Arabidopsis thaliana: one gene and its partner. The protein of the gene in region 2 binds, or shares a complex with, the protein of the main gene of each other region. Each region holds a gene or a part of one and is shown on either strand. Other genes may lie near its edges.

Region 1 (7,220 bases), on a different chromosome or scaffold from region 2:
TTATCCAAATATATCCGAATTACTCAAAACTATCTAATATATTCAATTTATAATTGTAATTTTGGATATTTGGAGTATTATAAGTATAAATATAACTAATATTTTAAAGTGTATATTTATATTCGAATATTTACAGGTATTAGATTTGGTTCTGTTTTTTTTTGGGTAATTAGGTTTAGAACTCGACGTATTTTTAAAAATCGGATCTGAATCGATTCAGGTATTTTTTGGGTTTTCGGTATCGGGCATTCGGGTATTTTTTTTGGGTTTTCGGTTTCGGGCATTTGTCAAATCGGTTATATAACTACAAAGTTAAGAGTTTAACAAAAAATTATACAAAACCAAATCAAATTAAATTGAACCGAACCGTATGCGAATTGCAACCAAACGCATATAAAATGAAAAATTATAAACTGCAAACCCGGTTAATTTTCCGGGTCGGCCCGGAACCCAAGAAGTTTTCTTCTTCCTCTCTCGTCTTCTCTCCTCCGCGGGAGACTCTAAAATCATCTTCCCATGGCGAGCGAAGAAAACAACGACCTTGAAAATCTTCTTGACATTCAGCTAATTGAACAAAAAGAATCTCTTTCCTCCATTGACGAAGCCCTACTCTCTGACCCATCTAATCCCGAACTCCTCTCGGTAAATTTTCTTCTCTCAAATCAGATCCCAAATTTCCTGGAGAACTAAGATTACTACGATTCAACAATTTTGTGATTGCTCTTTTTCTAGAAATTATATAGTATGGTATCAATTAGTCCAAAGCTGTTTCCTTTTTCTTTGATAATCTCATTCTTAGAGTAGCTAGAGGTGAAAATCCGTATACTTAGTCTTATGTTTCATGTGTGGTGGTTTTGTCTTTGGTTAGGTCCATGAAGAACTTCTCAGTGCAATCAAGGAGGTAGAGGAAGGGCTTTTGCATTTAAAACGAGCTCGGTTATTGGAGGAAGCTGATATAGTGTTGAATGGTCTAAATCATGATGCTGGAGTTAAACCTGAGCATCTGGAGCCAGAGAAAACTGAAGAGAAAAAGGATTTGGATGGATCGAAATGTCGGTTTCGACATACTGATGGTCGTTGGTATAATGGTCGTATTATTGGATTTGAAGGCTCTGATTCTGCTAAGATCTCTTTCCTTACACCCACATCTGAGAGTATGATGGTAAGTTCTTTGTAGTCATCTGTTAAATGTTTTCTTACTTAGTTCTTGTGTTTTGGATATGATCTATCAGTCTTTTCCTACAATACTAATGTGATATAGGATTTGAAAAGCTAGGGTGGATAGAGTTTATTGAAAGTCTCAGTTTTGATTGTCTATCTAGCTTAACTAGGTTTTGCTATAGGCATATAATAATGGCTGTGAAAGACTAACTTTGAGATGGTTACTGGTGGATTTTTTTCAATTGCTGTTTTGTGTCTTAGATACTAATGCTGCACCACATTTGTGCAGATTTGCAAGTTTTTTATGCAGCAGAGGTGTCGGTTTGGCAGTTCTTGTCGTTCATCACATGGTATGTTTAAAGCATAGTTAGATGATCATAATATTTATCATTATCGTTTTGTGTGTTATATATTCATACCGTGACCACATTTAGAACTTTAGAAGTTAGAAATGTGGCTGGTTTGTCATTGTGGTTGATAACTGCAAGACATCGATCGGTGCAGGACTAGATGTGCCGATATCTTCTCTGAAGAACTATGAACAGACTGAGTGGAAGCAATTGATGGTAGGCTCTAAGATTTGGGCGGTTTCTGGCAGTAAATACGATATATGGAGAAAGGCTGAACTTGAATCATGGGATGATGAGTTACAAGTAGGCGGAGTTGTTTTCAGAGATGATAAAAGCTCTGCAAAGCTAGGATCTGATTCTTTGGCATTATCAGAGTACGCTCAGATGACTGATGATGATGGGGAAGAGGAGGAGGAGGAGGATGAACAACAGAGTGCTTCAGATTCTGAAGATTCTGTTTCAAGTGATTATGATGAAGGGTCTCCACAAGGCATAGGCTTTCTAGAAAGCACAAATCTACCAAGAGGTGTCCAAACTGACACTGCCTTATTTGCTAAATGGGAGAATCATACTAGAGGAATAGCTTCGAAGATGATGGCAAGTATGGGTTACCGTGAAGGGATGGGTCTTGGCGTCTCTGGCCAAGGGATATTAAATCCAATCTTAGTAAAAGTACTTCCAGCAAAGCGGTCACTGGATTATGCTCTTGAGCACATTAGGAATGGAGAATGTAAAAGCGAGAAACAAAAGAAGAAAAGGAGCAGAGGTGGGAAAAGGAAGCGTGGGAAGAAGTTTGCAGAAGCAGCTAAAGCAGCGAAACAGGAAGAGGAATCGAAGCCAGATTTGTTTAGCTTAATCAATGAACAAATTTTTCCTACCCGCCATGAGAAAGTACACAGCGAGTCTGTAAAAAATAGGCAAAACAAAGGTCCAGTAGACAGGAAAGCTTTGGTTGAATACCAAGATGAAGTCAGAGACTTGAAGTTAGAAATGTTGAAACTAGAACAGATGGTGAACAGAAACAAGAAAGATCTAGTTGTTTCAGAGGCTGCGACGAGAAGATTGAAAGAAGTCCGAAAGGCATTGGCAAGTACATTAGCATGTCAAGCAGCTGCCTCAAATGCTATAGTAAGCAAAGAGAATGAGAAGAAATGGCTCAAGTTTTAGAACATAGAACTTTAAACCAGTTTAACAGAAATTTCATGGTTAAACTGTAAGATTGATGGCAAACATTGGAACCTTCTGAATTATATAATTGCGTTTACAAGCAAAAATTTATTTCATGAAATACATATTGTTGGAAGAAGAGGAAACATGACACTATACATTTTCATAGTCTTCTGTGTGTTCTAATGAAGTTATTGGTGTTTAGATTTATAGCTCTTAAGCAGGTATAAGCTGCGGCTGAGCACAATGCTGCTGAACCTAACAGGACAGCCTTCCACTGTCTACTAACCACCAGAATGGCCAAAGCCGTCAAAGCCACTGCCGTGGCAGAGAGGATATTTTTCCAGAGCTCAAAAGATTTGATCACATTGCTGCAGCTTCTACAATGAATAATATGTCTGAAGTACCGGTTAGCCAAATTGGGAGCATGCATAGTCCCAATTCCGCCTTTTGCAGGGTAAGAAGCAGAGAGAGCTGCAATGAGCCCTGCCGGGGCATGTTCCACGACAGGAGGGACTTTGGGGAGAGATATGGTCCTATGCCCGAAATGGTAAGGCATCCCATGACCAACTTTGTCCATCCACTTTCTATATTCAGCGACCCATGTGTCCGATGACTTTAGATTCAAATACAAGTCCTTAGTTGGTACTTTCTCCTTCATCAGAACCTCATTTTGAGACGATAGAAACCCCATGTCTTGTTCAAAAACCTTGCAGGCATTCTGATGCCAGAACCATTGAGGTAACACCGAAACCAAAGGCGATCTTTTTGTGACCCCAAACCTAACAATAAGCATAGACTTCCCTTGCCCTGTAGGTCTACAAAGAAACAGCCCTGAAAAATAGTTCTTCACTCCATCCTTCCCCTCGAACTCTCGATTGTTCTGCAGAACACAAGGAGCATCAAACCGAAGTAAATTACTCCCTTTCCCACCTTCTTTCTCTCGGCCCCAAGTCCCTGCGAAACCCCGATTACTTCGCTCTGTGACCTCGAAAACCAAAGGCTGAGCATCTTCTCTTTTAGCAGTGAAATCCGTTCTATCATGAGAGATAGGAACATGAGCAGGATCCATCAGATTCTCTAAAAGAATGGAATGGTCATAAGGAAGCTCATGAGTAGTCGAAATGTCGAAAAAACCGGGTCTAGCGAAATTCTCAAACCAAGGAAGCTTCTCAGGGTTTGGAGGTGTCTTTGTTGACATCCACACCCACACAACTCCTTGTGAATCCTTCACCTCATACGTCTTCACACAAGCAGCCTTTGGAATCTTAGCACTTGCAGGAAGCTGTTAGAAACAGAACCCAAAACCAGTAAGTACAGAGTAAAGAGAAAATCTCGAAATAGCAAAAATCAGTAAACAAAGAACCTGAGGAATCTTGACACATTTGCCCTCTCCTTCAAATTGCCAACCATGATACAAACATTCCAATCTCCCATCAATCAATTGTCCTTCAGACAACTTAGCCAACCTTTATAAAAAAAAAGACAAAACTCAATTTCAGATTCCTAAACAAAAGTACAAAACTAGTGGTTGTGGTTTTGCTAGATGATTTATCTTACCGATGAGGACACCGATCTTCGTAACAACGAAGTGTTCCTTCACCGTCTTTATACAAAACAATTTGACGATCGTAGACGGTGAGGCCAAGAGGCGCATCTTCAGGGACGTTTTTAGTTAAGTACAATGGATACCATTCCTCTGTCCAATCATAATCCGCCACCTCAACACGTTTCTCTTCTTCAGGGTTTAAAAGAACATCTCCACCTCCTTCTGTTTGATCAGATACGGCGGTTCCAGCGACGGCGGAGCGGCGGAGGAGACGTAGACGAGGCTTTGTGGGTATAGTGCATGTTGATCTGTGGTTGTGGATTATTGGTGTTGGTGTTACTTTAGTGAAGAGAATCGGAGAAGTGGGTGTGAGTTGTAGAGAAGAGCTTAGAAATGGAACAGCCATGGCGGATTCTTCACTAGAGAGCTCGAATCCAATGTTAGGTGTTGTTTGCCTCTTCTCATAAAATATATCATAAGGTTGCTTGTTCAACCATTGGACCTCGTTCCACCACATACATAGATAGTAGAAACTTTGGCTAAACGACGTCGTTTATTTTTACGTTATTTAAATGTCATTTTAACTTCTTTTTATTTTATTTTTAATCTTTTAAGTTTTAACATTAGTCTTTTTTGCTTTAATACATTTCATAGTGATGAAAAAAAAACATAAAACTATGTTAATAGTGATTAATTATTTATTCATTGTTGATAATAATAACAATAAAAAAGGCTATACTATGCCTAAGAACAGAAACTGATAACATAATTAGCACTAGTACATGTAAATCTACTCGAAGCATAATCGTACACATAGCTATACGCAGTGGGACAAGCTCCTTTAAATATCTTCGAGTATTTCGTCGGCGGGCAAGTCTCCGGTTTACTGAAAGCGCCGGTGCAACAATACTCCGGTTTGTTAAAAGCCTCACAAGCACTCTTACACGCCACAACACCCGATGAGCCGTTAACGCGTAGCTCTTTTGGACAAATGGCATTCACGTCCGAAACACATCCCGCGGTTTTACAATTGCCTGAGCCACCTTGTGGTGTGATTTTCACCTGAACGTTGTAACCGTCGACGAGACTCACGTCGTAAGAATCTTGTACGGTGTATTTCTTTCCAGAGGAGCCGATTCTGAATTCTGCTAGTGTGGCTGGTGGTGCTCCTCTTGCACCGGTGCATTTTTACATTTTCTGGAACCAGAGGCGTTGAAGTTGCAGCCCGTTCGACCCCAGATTCGACCAGACCAACCTGGAGAAACGGTTAAGTTTACAGAAGAACCTGAAGCTAAGGCAAATCCGCCGCCGCGGAGTAGTGTGCGGTTTGCGGTTAGGATTCCGGGCCACACAGTAAAGTTGCAGCGGTTTGATAAAGTGAAGACGGTGCCGGAGACAATAGAAATTGTACCTTGAAGAATATACAATTAAAAAAAAATTACTAGGACGGACAACAAAAAAAAATTATCAGATAAATTATTAAATCAAAGTAGTCATCTTAAAATGTTGGAAATGTTTTATGTATACATGTGGCTATGATGAAGGAGAAGAAGAGAAGATGTAATTTGGAGAAAATAGCCATTGTTAATCTGAGTATTGAAAAGTTGAAGTTGTGATGATTAGTGAAAGTTGATGGTGAGGATCCTCTGTTTATAGTGTTTTTCTTTTCTTTAGAAACAAATCCATTAACTTATTGTTTTGGATACTACTACCATAAGTGACACTTCATATTTTTATTTTTTTTACTTTTAAAGTTTAATGAGATTTTGTTTCTTATTACATAAAAATCAACTTTATTAATCTTAAGGAAATCTCCGTAAGCATTGATGTTTTGGATTTTACACACATTAAAAATTAAACATTATTTTATGACTGTTTATTTTTTATATTAAATATTTTTAATAACTATAAACTAATACTCATTGATTGTAATCTAATAAATTTAATCATTGCATCCTGAACTTTGTGATTTATAATATCAGTCAATAAAGAAGAAAAGAAAAAAAAAACTACAAAATTAAAGTGGAATAAACTTAAAATGATTAGAAAAAGATGGAGTACATTTTTTCTATTATTTTTTCACAAAGCTTTAAACCTAACATTAAAAAATTTGCTTGTTTTGTTTCCTTCGAAATTATAAGATTATTGCTTAATTAGGTTATTGAATTCGAGTCCAAAGCCACGACCCCCAGGTTTTAAAATCCAAATATCTCCGTTGCTTGTTTATTTTTGTTCTATATCGAGTTTATTATCTAAAAACGACAAACCTTTTACTGATTTCCACCATTTCTTGTACTTTTCAGGTTTTCTGAGACATGAAAGACAAAGAATTGGCTTATCAACAGAAACTATCAACAAATAAAGAGTTTCTGAAGCACATTATTAGATCCTTTTGTACATTTTTCTATTTATAGATTCTCTCTTCTTTTTTTGTATGCAAAAGTGACATATACTATAACAAGTCAAAGAAAGATGAATTCAATAAGCATGAGTGATTTTTTTAAATCTTCAAAAAGAAATATCTGAAAGGTACAAAAAAAAGTTTTCTGATTTTTGTCACAATAATGGAGAAATTCATACTATTTTAGGGTTTCTTACCCATAAAATTCACTGCATGCAGTGATTGGATTCACCACTTTCAAATTCTTGTTTTGTTTGTAAAATTGATGACTCGATCTCATGGATGCATGCATAAGAGAGTAAAGAGATTGTCATTAAGTTCTCCTGACTCAACCATCACTATCTCTCTCTCTCTCTGACACGAACGCACATGCATTTACAGTTTTCATTTATCACAACAACTACAACTTCTCTTCTCTCTCTCGGCTGATTAAGCAACTTCACTTTCCATCTTCTGACAGACACATTAAAAAATGGCGTTGCAGTTTTTTTCATGCAAACCAAAATATACATTCCTCTCCTCTCTTCTTCTACTTTTGCTTCTTTCTTCTTCAGTAGCTGAGCTCTCTTTCAACTTCTACGCCGGTTCTTGT
Region 2 (8,885 bases):
GATACAACAAGACCCTGATTGTTACCGGTGGAACAACGCAGCGACGGTGCTCTGCTATGATTGTGACACGTGTAGAGCTGGCGTTTTAGAGACTGTACGTCGCGATTGGCACAAACTCTCTCTAGTGAACGTCATTGTTGTTATTTTCCTCATAGCTGTTTACTGTGTTGGCTGTTGCGCGTTTAAAAACGCCAAACGCCCTCAACATTACGGCTTCCCTTATGGACGTTACGGCATGTCCAAATCCAGACCTGGATGGGAACAGTCCTGGTGAGATTAACTGCTTAGAGAATTACAATATTTTTTTTCATTGAATATACGTTTATAGGTTTGTTCTCTTTTCTAATGCAACAATTATTTTTATTATTTTCGCGGCATGTAGGTCAAGGTGGTGGCATGGGAGAGATCGGTATTAGTGAAAAATATTTATGTTAATGTTTTCGAATATCACGGTTCAACTTTTTGGTTTCCAATATATAATTATTGATTTTGAACAGAACATAAATTTTTTATAATGAAATTTCTAATTCGAGAAAAAAAAATTTAGTCACTTCCGATCCACAAAATCTGAGTTAAGAAATTGAAAAAAAAGAGCTAAATGTTTTATGTTTATGGAACATTATTTTAAATGTTATTTTAGGTAGTCAAATGGGTTATCTTTGGGCCAGACATTAGTCATTGAGGAGGCCCACAAAGGTATAGAACTAGAGTAACGAAGCCTTGCCTTGAAGGCAATAATCGCTTCTCCCACATCGGAAGTTTGAGGATGGATACTCGTCTGTGACATAGTATAAATAAAGAACATGGTCGAAGCTTGCAAATTACTTACCTGGACGGGGTCAACTCGTGATCAAGAAGACGAGTGGCCTAGGCTAGTGAATTCCATTGCACATAACGGAAGGGTGCTTAGCTTAAGGTCTTCCCTTGTGGAAGAGCCTGCGTCATTATTTGTGGCAGAGGGGGTTTGCGTTCGCGCAGCCCCTACCATTCCCAGTAGTTCAATCTTTTGTTCATGAATACCCATGGCCTAGGCTAGTGGCTTCCTGCACTTGAGGTGCGCTAAGCCTAAGGTTTCCCCAAATGGCCAAGTGGGAGATCCTGCGTCATTATTTGTTGCCTTGGGGGGCTGCGTTCGCGCGGCCCATTCCATCCGCAATAGTTCAATCTTTTTAGCTCTCTGGTAACTGTTATAACATCTGAGGTCTTTCTTTAATTGTTCACGTTTTTGGTGGAGCTATTTTATTGAAGGTTGTTAATTTGACTTTGGAGATGCAATCTTCTAATCAAATCTCCACGTGAGAAGCGAGGATTCTCTCCTCGTCATTATTTATCCTTCCCAATTAGAGTAATCACACTTTTCTGTCACATATGAATTATTAAAATCAGAACTTAAGCGAAATCCTTCGACCACTAAAGAAGAAAATCCCTAACAAATCTCAGAGTTTGTGTTAATTTCTTCTTTCCTTACATCTTTTCCAGAAGAAAAAAAGCTGAAAGATGTGGTTTTTTGGATCGAAAGGAGCATCTGGATTCTCTTCTCGTTCCACAGCAGAGGAAGTCACACATGGTGTTGATGGGACTGGTCTCACTGCCATTGTCACAGGTTTTCTTCTATCAATAGTTTCATGCCCTTTTGCGACTTGGGTTTGTCTAAAGTTGTAGACTTTTCTATAATTATGAATTGATTTCATATGTAGGGTAGAGATTTTTTACTTTTATTGTTTAGACAATTGGAATTTGATGTTTTTATGATCAGGGTCTGTTTTTGGTTCGGTCAACCCTAATAAATATATGGAGGTCATCACCGTTTGTTGTTCTAAAGTTTGTCTTTTTTTTTTGCCAATAAGTAACAAGCTTTTGCTCACAAGAATTGGATTGCTATGTTTGGTGAATTTTAAAGTACAACATGTTTGGGACCATTTGATCTGCAAATAACATGTGCTATTAGAAAGTTACATATATATACATACTTGTCTCTGTTTCAGCTGATTCTAAGTTATGTTATAATCACACACTATACAATTTCTGACCAAAGGAAGAAAAAAAAAAGATTTGCTTGTAGATCTCGTTTCAATACTTTTGTGAAGTGCTGCTTCCTTATTTTGGTTAGATTGAGTATGTAGTTTAGTATGCACATGTTCTGTATCAGCCTATCAGGGTATTGAAAAGGCTAGGAACGAGCTTAATCTATTAGTTGATACAACTTAAGAAAGTGAGATTTCTGAACATGTTGGATCCTCAAGTTTTGTTTTGTTTGTTTTCATGTTTTTTCAGGAGCATCAAGTGGTATAGGTGTAGAAACAGCTCGTGTTCTTGCACTGCGTGGTGTGCATGTGGTTATGGCGGTGAGAAACACTGGCGCCGGTGCTAAAGTTAAGGAAGATATTGTCAAGCAAGTCCCTGGAGCTAAAGTTGATGTCATGGAGTTAGAACTCAGCTCAATGGAATCTGTCAGGAAATTTGCATCTGAGTACAAATCTGCTGGTCTTCCACTCAACCTCTTGATGTAAGCTATTGAAATATCGTGGTTCATCTATAGCCGTTTGGATTTATTGACGTTTATGTTTTGACTTGTCTCAATTTTGTAAGCAACAATGCCGGGATTATGGCATGTCCTTTTATGCTCTCTAAGGACAACATCGAGCTGCAATTCGCAACCAACCATTTAGGTGAGTATGATAACCAAACCAACATTATGGCTTTGTCCTACATTTTATATAATTAGTTTCTAATCAGTGCAACGGTTTTTGTAATCCAAATACATTTCAGGACATTTTCTGCTTACCAAACTTCTGTTAGATACAATGAAGAACACATCACGTGAAAGCAAAAGAGAAGGAAGGATTGTTAACGTATCATCAGAAGCTCATCGTTACTCGTACCCAGAAGGAGTCCGCTTTGATAAGATCAACGACGAGTCAAGGTACTAATGGTGAACCAAATAGTATAATTCTCCGATCCCATCTTTTCTTCTAAAGCCAACATTCTTCCTTGATTTGGTCTCCACATGCAGTTACAGTAGTATACGTGCTTATGGACAATCTAAACTCTGCAATGTATTGCACGCCAACGAGCTTGCAAAGCAACTGAAGGTAAACTACACTAAACAAAGCAAAGATATAGCAAATCAAGAATCTATGTTTCCATGGTTATCTTCAATTCTGGTATATGATTAAAAACAGGAAGATGGAGTCAATATAACAGCAAATTCACTTCATCCAGGAGCCATTATGACAAATCTATGGGGCTACTTCAACTCCTATTTGGCTGGTAACTTCTTTTCTCGGATTCAACTCTCATCACTCCATGTTTCATAAGGTTACACTCAAAGTAAACAAACGCATACATATATTTTGAGTCTCTTCTGATCTCTCTGTCACCGGCTTAATGCAGGAGCTGTTGGTGCAGTGGCTAAATATATGGTCAAGTCTGTTCCGCAGGTATGCATCTAATTTCTGAACCTCACACTAATAACCAATCACTTGCAAACTTGTCACTAGGTTTCTCAGCTTAAGTAGGAGAGAATGATACAGCAGTCTAGCTTTACGGATTGATTTGGTTTTTGTTGGTAATCTGGTTTATAATGTCTGAGTATTCGACTTGGTAGGGGGCGGCAACAACTTGCTATGTGGCATTGAATCCACAGGTTGCAGGAGTTACAGGGGAATACTTCTCAGATAGCAACATTGCTAAACCAATAGAACTTGTCAAAGATACAGAATTGGCGAAGAAGCTTTGGGATTTCAGCACTAAGCTTACTGATTCGCAATGATGATTACCGTTGCAGTAGATAGTTGTTCAGGGAACCTTTACTTTCGATGTCTCTATTGTGACAATACTTATTTCAGTCTTTATTGATACAAAATAAAATGTAAAAAACAAATCTGAAATCATTTCCATTTCAATTCTGCAAAAAGATGGTTTATCCAATTTCAGCCTAAACAAAAGTGTTACTTATCTGTTTTCTCATTGACTCAAAACAGTTGTCTAGTGAACTAACTCGTAGACATAAGTAAGTAAGAAACCAAACAGAAAGAGCTTAAAACATCTTCTGATTTTGGAGTTAACTCATGTTATTGGTGGGAGCTATTTTAAGGACATTTGTTAAATCCTTTAAAAAGAAAGTTGTTAATAAATCCCCATCATTTGACTTTGGAGATGCACTATTCTACACTTCAACCTCAACCTCGTGAGACATGAGGATTAAAGTAAAGTAATCACATTTCTGTCACATATGAACAAATAAAGTTATTTAAATCAGAATAAAAGCGAAATCGCTTGACCACTCAAGAAGAGAAAAACGCTAACAAGTCCCATAGTTTGTGTTTATTGGACTTCTTTCCTCTCATCTTCTCCAGCAGAAACAAAAAAAGCTGAAAGATGTGGTTTTTTGGATCGAAAGGAGCATCTGGATTCTCGTCTCGTTCAACTGCAGAGGAAGTCACACATGGTGTTGATGGGACTGGTCTCACTGCCATAGTCACAGGTTTTCTTCTATCAACACTTTCATGCCATTTTGCGACATGGGGTTGTCTAAAGTTGTAGACTTTTTTTCTTATAATTTCCAGAACTTTTGTCCTCTCTGATTCTGTCTTCGAATTGATTTCATATCTAGTAAAAAGACTTGACTTTTATTGTTTAGACAATTGGAATTTAAGGTTTTTATCATCAGGGTCTGTCTTTGATTCGGTCAACTCTAATAAATATTGAGGTCATCACTGTTTCTTGTTCGAAAGTTGTCTTTTTTTTCAAGAATTTGGATTGAAAATTCCATGTTTGGTGAATTTTAAAGTACAACAAGTTTGGGACCATATGTATAATTGCATGTTAAGGGAAAATAACTCGTCTCTGTTTCAGCTGCTTGTAAGTTGTGTTATATATCACAACTCTATACAATTCCTGGCCAAGGGAAGAAAAAATACAGATTTGCTTGTAGAAATCGTTTCTATATTTTGATCATATTACATTAGGGCCTGAAACAAGAACAATGGAGTCCTTGAATTGATAGAACCCTGTTAGGTGACACTAAAGACTTGCACATACATATTTGAGTGTAGCATCGATTGGGCAAACCCTGAGTCAGCCTAATAGCCTATCAGGGTTTGAAAAGGCTTGGAAGAGCTTAACTGATCATTGGTTGATACAACTTTAAAAAGTAGTCTAGCCTGCATTGAGTTTTCTGGACATGTTTGGTTCCTTAAGTTTTCTTGTCTTTGTGTTCATATTTTCAGGAGCATCAAGTGGTATAGGAGTAGAGACAGCGCGTGTTCTTTCACTGCGTGGTGTGCATGTGGTTATGGCGGTGAGGAACACTGACTCTGGTGCTAAAGTTAAGGAAGATATTGTCAAGCAAGTCCCTGGAGCTAAACTCGATGTCATGGAGTTAGATCTCAGCTCAATGCAATCTGTCAGGAAATTTGCGTCTGAGTACAAATCTACTGGTCTTCCACTCAACCTCTTGATGTAAGCTATTGAATACTGTATATAGCGGTTTTGATTTATTGATGGTTAATGTTTTGAATTGTCTTAATCTTGTAAGCAACAATGCCGGGATTATGGCATGTCCTTTTATGCTCTCTAAGGACAACATCGAGCTGCAATTCGCAACCAATCATTTAGGTGAGTAGGAGAAGTAAACCAACATTATGTGGCTTTGTTCTAAAGTTATATACTTAAGTTAACATCATCATTAGTTTTTAGTCAGTGGCATGGAATTTGTGATCCACTTTATTTCAGGTCATTTTCTGTTGACTAAACTTCTGCTAGATACAATGAAGAGCACATCACGTGAAAGCAAACGAGAAGGAAGAATTGTTAACCTATCATCAGAAGCTCATCGGTTCTCGTATCCAGAAGGAGTTCGTTTTGATAAGATCAATGACAAGTCAAGGTACTAATGGTGAACCAAATAGTAATTCTTCTATCAAAATCTAACATTCTTCCTTGGTTTGGTCTCCGTTGCAGTTACAGTAGTATGCGAGCTTATGGACAATCTAAACTCTGCAATGTGTTGCACGCCAACGAGCTTACAAAGCAACTGAAGGTAACTAGAAAAACAAGAGATCTATCAAATCAAAATCTATGTTTCCATGGTTATATTGATTCAAATCTGGTATGAATAAAATAGGAAGATGGAGTCAATATAACAGCAAATTCGCTTCATCCAGGAGCCATTATGACTAACCTCGGGCGCTACTTCAACCCCTATTTGGCTGGTAACTTCTTTTCTCTTATTCCACTATCATCACCCCATACTTCACAAGGTTACACACAAGTAAACAAACGCATACATATACTTCTTCTGATCCTCTCTGGCATTGGCTTGATGCAGTAGCGGTTGGTGCAGTGGCTAAATATATACTCAAGTCTGTTCCACAGGTATGCTTCTAATTTCGAAGCCTCACACTGGTAACCAATCACTTACAAACTGGTCACAAGGTTTCTCAGATCTTGCTTAAAGGATAAAACTTGGTTTTGTTCCGTTATGTGGTTTATAATGTCTGAGTATACGACTTTGTAGGGAGCGGCAACAACTTGCTATGTGGCATTGAATCCTCAAGTTGCAGGAGTTTCAGGGGAATACTTCCAAGATAGCAACATTGCTAAACCATTACCACTTGTCAAAGATACAGAATTGGCCAAGAAGGTTTGGGATTTCAGCACCAAGCTTACCGATTCACAATCAGGAGAAAGCAGTTCTTGAAAGTAAATGATGTTCAGTGAATCTTTACTAATGGTTTCATGTTTCAACGTCTCTTATCTCTACTGTGACAATACTTATTTCAGTCTTTATCAAAGGAAATAAAAACGTATAACAAATCTGCAATAAGATGGTTTATTCTGACCGGTTTAGTTCTAAACCTTCACCAAACACTTATCAGAAGAAAATGTAAAAAAGCTTTGTAATCAAGTATCAGAAGATTTTAAAGACAACTTTCGAATTCAAAAAGAAGAAGAAGCCACGAGGAGACAATACTGTCAATGCATTATTAAAGTGATGGTCAGAAATGAAAATAAAAATCAATGATGATAGTTTTCTAGTTTAAACTCACTTTATTAATGGTTTCATTAGGAAGGTTAAGTAATTAATTAATCTTTGTGATTGGAATTTGGATCATAACGTGCAAATTGTCGATATAGAGTGTTATAGATAGGCTCTGTATTTAATTCATTTCATACCCTCTATATATAATTGTCGGTCGTTAGATGGCATTTGTTTTTATATTTATTTGATTTGGACCAAACAATGCTATTAATGATATGCATTGTATAAATTTCAAACTATAACGAGAGCAAATTTCAATGTAGGTTTAGGACTATATATGTTGATATTTAACAAAAAAGAAAAATTCATCTTAGGGTGATAAGATTGATCACTAAAGATTATTGAAATGTGGCCAAGTACTAGAGTACTACTATTTGTGACTATTTTACAATTGTTCACAATCATATCTATTGTACGTACAAACTATTTGCAGAAAAATCACATGCTCCAATATGAGATATTGTGTGTATGGATGTGGATACCTCAAATTAACTCGTAAAAATGTATGGACCTAATATAGTATATAATACGATACTAAAGATTTTTGTTCATTTTACTGTTGTTGATAGACTTACACTATGATGAGCAACAAAGGACTGAAATTTCAACAACAACAAATGATTTTTGAAATTGTCAAAATTAGTTGTCATCATCAGCAACAACAAAACTAATCAAATATGTTTGTAACATTCTATTTGAGAAAATTTATATAACTATATTGAAAAGAACATATATCACACAATCGTATATGAATGGTTGGGGGATGGACTAATAAAGAGTATGGTAATGTTTCTCAAACTCTCTGAGAAGCCACCAAACCACTTATAAAGAGATCTAAGTTCACACCTTTGTGTTTACTTTATCTAACTAATCCGTGGTACTACAAAGTAATTAAATTGTGGTAACATTGAATTACATATTCATTTTTATTCTATCATTACCAAAAAGTCAATCATGTTGTAGTACATGTACAGATTGGACGCTTTCTTTGTATTTTTCTGCTGTGTACACATTCAACTTTAATAATTGCTCTTCTCCGTAATGTGGTAAAATTCGATTTCATGCATATATTCAGGATTTCAACAACAGAAAAAGTTTTCAAAAATAACCAAAACATGTGGCCAAGTGATCTTTGTTATCACTATGACTAAAATCCATATAATCCTTACAATTATCATTCACATATATTTAAGCTTCATAATTGACTCATCTTTCAATCATTGACAAAATTTGCTTTGTCAAACAAAAGCTAAATCATAAGGAAATAGTGTCTACATGAAACTAAATCAAAATTATTCCTTCTATTCAATTCCTAATTCATAAGGATGGGCCTCACAATTGGACTTTAATTCTCTAAATTAGACCATTTTTCTGCTAAAAGAGCAAATGTGATCTCTTGAAAAGGTGTTGGAGAGGCGATAATTCGGAGCCGTGGATGAAACGTGTGAAAAGGGAGTGATGAGGCCATCAGGACCGTACGTTGATATCACGTGAGGACACGTGGGGGATTGAGTGAGCATGTACAAACAAAACTGTCTTTTGGACTGACTTTGGAAGCAACCAAGGAAACATCGAACATCATTCGGTGTACCATAAAAACAATGCATATCATTGAGCTGTTTGTTACCCCCAAAAAACATATGGTGTCAAACACAAGACTATTGTCTTATCAATGACTATTATTGATTTGAATCTTAATTTATATCCATCTTAAGCTTATCAAGATTCGAGTTAGGGTGGTGGACATTAGTTAATTATCAAATTTTATAAATCCTAACTAAGGGTAGATTTCGGTGTATAAAACCAGGTCAAATTATTCGTTTTATAGTTTTTCTATATA

What was found. The genes of interacting proteins can lie anywhere in the genome.
Region 1: Tic32-IVa (region 2) and TIC55-II share a complex: the UniProt entries of both Arabidopsis thaliana proteins name them as parts of the tic complex.

What each region holds. Positions count from the first base shown.
Region 1 is NC_003071.7:10,572,451-10,579,670, reverse strand, and holds TIC55-II (translocon at the inner envelope membrane of chloroplasts 55-II), read right to left. Parts: upstream 4,730-7,220; 5' UTR 4,634-4,729; coding exon 4,239-4,633; intron 4,148-4,238; coding exon 4,045-4,147; intron 3,964-4,044; coding exon 2,842-3,963; 3' UTR 2,733-2,841; downstream 1-2,732. Other genes in the region: AT2G24830 (zinc finger (CCCH-type) family protein / D111/G-patch domain-containing protein), read left to right, coding at 517-642, 869-1,162, 1,451-1,511, 1,666-2,678; AT2G24810 (Pathogenesis-related thaumatin superfamily protein), read right to left, coding at 4,972-5,207, 5,290-5,424, 5,483-5,638, 5,755-5,809; AT2G24800 (Peroxidase superfamily protein), read left to right, coding at 7,101-7,220. UniProt on the Arabidopsis thaliana protein: Involved in protein precursor import into chloroplasts. Part of the redox regulon consisting of TIC32, TIC 55 and TIC62.
Region 2 is NC_003075.7:12,224,791-12,233,675, forward strand, and holds Tic32-IVa (NAD(P)-binding Rossmann-fold superfamily protein), read left to right. Parts: upstream 1-4,112; 5' UTR 4,113-4,380; coding exon 4,381-4,486; intron 4,487-5,231; coding exon 5,232-5,463; intron 5,464-5,539; coding exon 5,540-5,619; intron 5,620-5,736; coding exon 5,737-5,890; intron 5,891-5,964; coding exon 5,965-6,043; intron 6,044-6,127; coding exon 6,128-6,215; intron 6,216-6,331; coding exon 6,332-6,378; intron 6,379-6,520; coding exon 6,521-6,703; 3' UTR 6,704-6,928; downstream 6,929-8,885. Other genes in the region: TET5 (tetraspanin5), read left to right, coding at 1-270, 383-416; AT4G23420 (NAD(P)-binding Rossmann-fold superfamily protein), read left to right, coding at 1,270-1,295, 1,395-1,441, 1,520-1,603, 2,275-2,506, 2,590-2,669, 2,770-2,923, 3,014-3,092, 3,183-3,270 and 2 more. UniProt on the Arabidopsis thaliana protein: Involved in protein precursor import into chloroplasts. Part of the redox regulon consisting of TIC32, TIC 55 and TIC62.